Linked DNA regions of Saccharomyces cerevisiae S288C. The protein of the gene in region 1 purifies or fractionates together with the protein of each later gene. This does not show direct contact. Each region holds a gene or a part of one and is shown on either strand. Other genes may lie near its edges.

The links. The genes of interacting proteins can lie anywhere in the genome.
Region 2: the proteins of PSA1 (region 1) and TDH1 purify together in Saccharomyces cerevisiae (affinity purification with mass spectrometry; 2 studies listed by BioGRID, with this or other methods). This does not show direct contact.

Annotation. Positions count from the first base shown.
Region 1 is NC_001136.10:354,958-358,903, forward strand, and holds PSA1 (mannose-1-phosphate guanylyltransferase), read right to left. Parts: upstream 1,803-3,946; coding exon 717-1,802; downstream 1-716. Other genes in the region: transcription factor MBP1, read left to right, coding at 1-421. UniProt on the Saccharomyces cerevisiae protein: Involved in cell wall synthesis where it is required for glycosylation. Involved in cell cycle progression through cell-size checkpoint.
Region 2 is NC_001142.9:336,271-339,769, reverse strand, and holds TDH1 (glyceraldehyde-3-phosphate dehydrogenase (phosphorylating) TDH1), read right to left. Parts: upstream 1,500-3,499; coding exon 501-1,499; downstream 1-500. Other genes in the region: YJL052C-A (uncharacterized protein), read left to right, coding at 1,767-1,886; retromer subunit PEP8, read right to left, coding at 2,733-3,499. UniProt on the Saccharomyces cerevisiae protein: Glyceraldehyde-3-phosphate dehydrogenase (GAPDH) involved in glycolysis and gluconeogenesis. Catalyzes the reaction of glyceraldehyde-3-phosphate to 1,3 bis-phosphoglycerate.

The DNA of each region.
Region 1 (3,946 bases):
ACAAGAACAAAATACTAAGAAATTGAGAAAAAGGCTCATACGATACAAACGGTTGATAAAACAAAAGCTGGAATACAGGCAAACGGTTTTATTGAACAAATTAATAGAAGATGAAACTCAGGCTACCACCAATAACACAGTTGAGAAAGATAATAATACGCTGGAAAGGTTGGAATTGGCTCAAGAACTAACGATGTTGCAATTACAAAGGAAAAACAAATTGAGTTCCTTGGTGAAGAAATTTGAAGACAATGCCAAGATTCATAAATATAGACGGATTATCAGGGAAGGTACGGAAATGAATATTGAAGAAGTAGATAGTTCGCTGGATGTAATACTACAGACATTGATAGCCAACAATAATAAAAATAAGGGCGCAGAACAGATCATCACAATCTCAAACGCGAATAGTCATGCATAAAATATACATAAATAGAGGAACTTTACATGTATCCATATACTGAAAAATAGATAAAACAATGAGATAATATTTATTAACTTCTACGTAAATAAAAAGTTACATAAGGATCAACCTTTTTTTCTTTATTTTCTTTTTTTTTTTTATTTTTCATTTTCAATTACAAACTAAGACATAACAGTAAGCAGTGCTTTTTCTGTGCATGTTTTCCTCTTTTTATAATGATATTGGCTAAAATAAAATTAACAAAAACAGATGAGTGATATAGATTATATTCATTACAGTTCGTTTTCCTAACTCACATAATAATAGCTTCCTTTGGAACATTATCGGAGATAGACTTATGAGGTAAGACTTTACCACCGTTGATGTAGATTTCGTCCTTAACTTCAACGTCGTCACCCAAGACAGTGACACCTTCCAAACGACACCATTGACCAACGGTAGAGTTCCAGCCTACGATGGTAGATTTGACCAAGGAGTGGTTCTTGATGGTGGAGTTGCACAAAACAACAGATCTGGTGATTCTAACACCATCACCGATGGTGACATTAGGACCGATAACCACGTCTGGGCCAATCTTAGCAGTGGAGGAAATCTTAGCGGTTGGGTCGATCAAGGCATTACCAACAATGTTGGCACCTGTAGCCAATTTTTTTGGTTGTCTCTTGGCCAAAGAGTTCAAGTAAAGAACGGTACCAGACAAGAAGTCCTTTGGTTGACCAACATCCATCCAGAAACCTTCCAAATCGAAGGAATATAGTTGTTTTTCTTCGACCAAGATTGGGAAAGTTTCCTTTTCAATTGAAGTTGGCTTCATTTCAATCAAGTCAATGACTTCTGGGTTTAAAATGTACAAACCGGCGTTAATTCTGTTACCAACAAATTCCTTTGGCTTTTCAACAAATCTGTCAATCAAGTTTGGAGTAGCTATATCATGGACAATGACACCGTATTTAGAAGGTTCGTCGACCTTGGTAGCAACAATGGTACCTTTACCACCGTGAGCTTTGTGGAAGTCAGCCAATTCCTTGAATGGATATTCGCAAATGACGTCGGAGTTTAGGACGAAAAATGGAGAGTTGTCCTTCTTCAAAACATCTTCAGCCAATTTCAATGGACCTGCAGTACCTAATGGTTCAGTTTCTACAGAGAAAGTGATGTTAACACCATATTCCTTTTCGTACTTCTTCAAAGTTTCCACCATGACTTCTGGTCTGTAATTAACAGCAAGAACGATGTCAGTAACACCAGCGTTGGCTAAAGCCTCGATTTGGTGTAAAATCATTGGTCTATTACCGAATTCAACCAGTGGCTTTGGAACGGTCAAAGTTAAAGGTCTCAATCTGGTACCGTAACCACCGACTAAAATTAAACCTTTCATTTTTCAATTATATATGTTTTATTTGTTGAAGTTGTAGCTTGTCTTGTGCTGATAATATTTTGTTTGTATAGTCAACAAAATATTTGGACAGAAGAAAAGAGTTAGCGAATGTAAAGTAGTTTGCACACTTGATGAACGTTATCAAAGTCAAAGAGGTGAGAACAAGATAGACAAAGAAAAAAAAAATACAGTTTTGGAGAAAAGAAAACAAGACTATGTGAAACTTCTAACAATGACGTGAAAAGTCTACTATATATATGTTTACAAGAGCGCCACGAGGCAAGGAAAAAAAGAAAACAAAGCGAGAAACCACCAGCTTACTTTACTACCGGTCAGCTGTGGTTCTGTGTCTGTTCGTCTGTTTGTTTGTTTGTTTGTTTATTGCTGCGCTGTTCATGCTGAAAAACGACAAAAACAAAGAAAAAAAAGTTTTTCAGAGATTGAGATAAAAATAAACGTGGTGGCTCCCGAGGCATTTCTAGCTGGCCAGCAAGTACACGGTGGCCGTTTCTTTTGGCGTTTTTTTTTTCTGTTTTCGCGTTCTTCATGCTGTGCGTTGCTGGTGAGGTGGCGTGGACGGTTTGGTTTAGGCAATGATAGAAAAAGCTATAGTCAGAGTTGCAGGAAAGGACGAAAGTAGTCCATTTGGTGCCGTTATCCAAGGGTCTTGCTCTTAGTCTTGCTTTTCACCCAGCACGCGGTAAGAAGGATCGGGTGCAGCATGAAGAATGCTGACTGTACGCGTTTCGATTTGAAGCTTTAGGATGTTCTGTGGGTTGGGTTGGCTCGATCGACAGTGCGTATAGTGACCTTTGAACTGTACCGGGTGGCACGTCGTGCACAGAATCAGAAGTAGTTATAAAAGATTTGTAATTGCGTATATGCAACCAAGTTTAGGCTTTCTCCGTGCCGTTTTTTAAGGTGAAATGTACTCCTCTTGAAAATGTAAAAAAATGGAGCCTCGCAGAGCAGCTTGCCAAGCAGGTTGATACAAGGTGAGCCGCCGAAACATAACGATAAACGTGGTATAGTTTTCGATTGCCTTTAGTTTGGGTGGTCTCAGTGCTGGCACCTGACGAACTATTCGTAGGCAGGAGAACTTGCATCATGTGGTGTTCTTCCGAGATAGGGATGCCGTTTGGTCCTTACGAAAGTCAATGTTCTGGTACTACTAATTATTAACATAGTTCGTTGTATACACACTCTTTACTTTCATAAGAAATAAAAAGCACGTCTAAGAAATCTCTACGTCTTGGCTGCGGCAAGCAACTGCATAGAAAGCACATAGTAGTAACTCTAAAATGCGAGCTTCATACAGACAATTACATAAATGCAACATAGGCAGCATGGGATCCTGGGTTTCATATCGTCAAAGAAAGCCACCAACTGGCTTTACCATAAAAATACGAAAAGAAGTGCACACATTCTTCTTTTTGGCTCATCACAAGTTCTTCAATTTACTGTCATTACTTTTGTTTCCTTGTCAGATAATGTATGGGTGGTGTGTACACCAAGGTATTTTTTTTTTTACTTGGCAGATCTGCAATGCATAATAGAATGGTAAGGGAACGAGTAACAGACGGGAAGCGAATGCGAACACAAAGAATATAAATTTGAAATCTCCTGTTGCAAAGGATTCTCTAGACATTTACTATCTCAGTGACAATTCTCGAGTGAAACAAGAAATTGAGATGGTAGGTCAGCGCCCATACTTCTTGAATCAATTGGAGGAGCGGATAAAGCAAGTTTCCCCCCTCAATGTAAATCATCTTAAGCAAAATTTTAAAATCTAGGCACATATAAAGAGAAAATGGGAATGATTTTGCTGGATAGGCTACAGTGTTAGGAATGCAGAATTAGGAACTATAGATGATGCGATTAAAGATATTAAACGAGAAGTGACAGTGGTGGCTTCGACAACGGCAGTCGTGCTCGGTCGACAACGTGTATGTTTTTGCCGAGCAGAGCAGGGAAAGTCCTTCTTTCTGCGCGTGAATCAAAACACATTGGTATCGAATTTAACATATCTGGGTGAGGAATGGACAATCCTAATAAAGTACTGGAGGTTTGTCTGTATTTCCAAGTTCTTGCTTGTAGAAACTGCTTTCTTTTCTCTTTTCCTGCAGCGGTCGAACATATGTGAT
Region 2 (3,499 bases), on another chromosome or scaffold:
TTCTTAGTATATATATACTGCTCAAGGGCAAATGCAATTACTTTGGAAATGCTTTCTTGTTCTGATACGTAAGAAGACAAGTAATCTCTGGACTAAAAGTGGAGCCGGAATAGAGACTCTCTTAGTATCAGTATCCACCTCTTCAAAGGATAATGCGTTCTTTGCCAATAGTCACATATTGTGGGTATGTGCGTTTTGCAAAGGCAGCAATATATTGTTTACTTATTTCCCAAAAAGGAAAAATCTTTAAACCATCCTAGAACTTCAATTCACCACGTTCAGGGTAATATATTTTAACCGCCGACGTTCTCGCCATAACTTTTAAACAGTGATAACTAGTATTGAAACTTAGAAGAGAAAAGGGTAAAGTTAATGCTTAATCTTGTCTTGGCTTAAAAAGTAATATGTACTTATTTACGTCTTCACAAAATCTAGCAGAAAAACGGTAGTATTTATGTATATTCAAAAAAAAATCATTATCCTCATCAAGATTGCTTTATTTAAGCCTTGGCAACATATTCGATCAAGTCAACAACTCTGGCGGAGTAACCGTATTCGTTATCGTACCAGGAAATCAACTTGACGAACTTTGGAGACAATTGGATACCAGCGGAGGCATCGAAGATGGAAGCGTGAGTGTCACCCAAGAAATCAGAGGAGACAACGGCATCTTCGGTGTAACCCAAAACACCCTTCATTGGACCTTCAGCGGCAGCCTTAACAGCCTTCTTGATTTGGTCGTAAGTAGCTTCCTTTTCCAACTTGACAGTCAAGTCAACAACGGAAACATCGACGGTTGGGACTCTGAAAGCCATACCGGTCAACTTACCTTGCAATTCTGGCAAGACCTTACCGACAGCCTTAGCAGCACCGGTAGAGGATGGGATAATGTTACCGGAAGCGGTTCTACCACCTCTCCAGTCCTTGTGGGATGGACCATCAACAGTCTTTTGAGTGGCGGTCATGGAGTGAACAGTGGTCATCAAACCTTCTTCAATACCGAAAGCATCGTTGATAACCTTGGCCAATGGAGCCAAACAGTTGGTGGTACAAGAAGCGTTGGAGACAATCTTCTTGTCTGGAGTGTATTTAGTGTGGTTAACACCAACAACAAACATTGGAGCAGAAGAAGATGGAGCAGTGATGACAACCTTCTTGGCACCAGCGTCAATGTGCTTTTGAGCGGTGTCCAATTCCTTGAAAACACCAGTGGAGTCAACAGCGACATCGATCTTTAGAGAACCCCATGGCAAGTTAGCTGGGTCTCTTTCTTGGTAGGTAGCGATCTTGACACCATCAATGATGATGTGCTTGTCGTCATGGGAAACAGTACCCTTGTATCTACCATGAGTAGAATCGTACTTGACCATGTAAGCAGCATAATCGTTAGAGATAAATGGATCGTTGACAGCAACAACCTCAATGTCTTTTCTTTGCAAAGCCAATCTCAAGACCAATCTACCGATTCTACCGAAACCGTTAATAGCAATTCTGATCATTTTGTTTTGTGTGTAAATTTAGTGAAGTACTGTTTTTTGTGTGTGTTGGTGAAATATCAAACCAAGTTCTTGATGAATTTCTTATTTATGCAAGAGAGAGAATAGAACTGTACTACAAATCTCATTGTGTGAAAATATATTGTCTATTTATATGATTTCGAGACTCCAGTTTTGGTCATTATCACCAAGCTCTTACTGCTACAGAGAATGAACATGCTCCTCCCCCCCTTCTTCAGACTATGTTGTTCTGCACGTGGATACCGTCGCATGCACCTAAGAAGCAGATGGTGGCTTGCCTTACTGTATTGTAAAGATCCAGTCTCCAGATCTGCGACCACTCCGAAGGTTGAAACCCGAGCTTCCTGTTTGCTGTCTCGCGCCTTTTAAAAAAAAAGCGCGATTATGGGCCGCTCGTGACAGTAAAGGAAGCAAGCAGATCGACCCCCTGAAAATGTGGTGTGGTTACTAAGCAGAAGCGTCTTCGTCGCATATCCTATTCCTAGCGCAACAAGGCCCCACGGTGTGGTTTCATGTGACGTGGAGTCATGTAGGCTTGTGGTGCGCACATTTTTACTAAGCTCAACAACCCTACTGGCGCTGCTGGAAGTGAATGGCGAGTAGATACTATCAAGTGTTGGCTGGTGGGACATATCAGCAACTAATGGATAGAATAAATTGGATCAGAAGCTCAGCCCAACTTATCCTCCATATGGTGATATAGAGTGTAAATGAGCATATACATTCGTTTCTTTTTCTCCTCCCATTAGTCTGGCCCTTTAGCATACAAGTCAACTGTAGTTTTCAGAAGCGGGCTTTTCTTGGTTTTTGTTATGTTACCTGTGAGAAACTAATCCATCGAGAAATTTACTCATTTTTTTTTTTACTCCAAGCTGCTTTTACTTAGCTAAACATAAAAAAAGATATTTCTTATGCATTAACTTGAAGAAAAATTGTTCCCTTGGACAACGCTGTGCTTTTCCGAAGCACTGTAAAAGGGAAGAAAACCATATGCTATTCCTCCTTTCGTAGAGAAAAAAAGTTTTAGCACTTGAGCTTCTTACTATATCGTATTTTACCTCTTGCTTGTTTAGTTCGTTATAACTTACGCAAAAGTCTTCTACTGAAATCTAGATATTGTTATGTATAACACTATAATGCCAAACGAAAAGTTAAATATCGAGATGTTGAAAGAACAGAGAACCACATCTTCACCTTATTTAAGGTCGAGCTTTTCTACCGGGTCCTGTACAATGTTATTTCTGATTGTTTAAAATATCTTCTGCCATCTTCATCGATAATAACCAAGCTCAAATAATTCTTGACGTTAAAGTAGTTGCAGCTCATATTGGGCGTCAGGTCATAGCCGCTCAAGAATAATCTTATGGGTATGGTTTCACCTTTCACTGAAGACCCATCCATTATTTCGTATCGGATAGCAGTGGAATCTGTCATTACATTAGAAGTTTGTAGGCCGGAAGATTCTCTTGTGATCAAGCTTAATTCCATATGTTTTATCCTTAGTCTCGTTAAAAGGAAATATATACGCCCCACAATGACTTCTTTTAAGCTGTACTGGGATTTGGCATATTCAAACTCAATGTGAAGGCAATTTTCTATACCTATATCCAATCTAACAGGCTTGGGCTCATTATTTGAATGTGATATCGGCAAAACTTGATTAACGTCTGCCGCCTCACCCTGGGTGCTCTTTGTTTGCGTGTTGTCACTCGCATTATCTGCAGCATAGTTACCACCAGCGATGTCATTAGTGGTTGCCTTTGTCTCATTTGCGGAAAGGGTATTTGGCGCAGTAGTTACACTATTATAAAGATAGACCCAAAATCTTTTTATTTTCGAGATGTCTGTGGACTTCCTCATAACTGTTACCTTAACATAGTAAGCTACATCCACATTTTTGCCTTTATAAGATTCGTATCTTTTACTCAAATCTCTGAATAGGAATGGGAAACTTTGAGAATGTTGTAATTCACCAGCAGGAC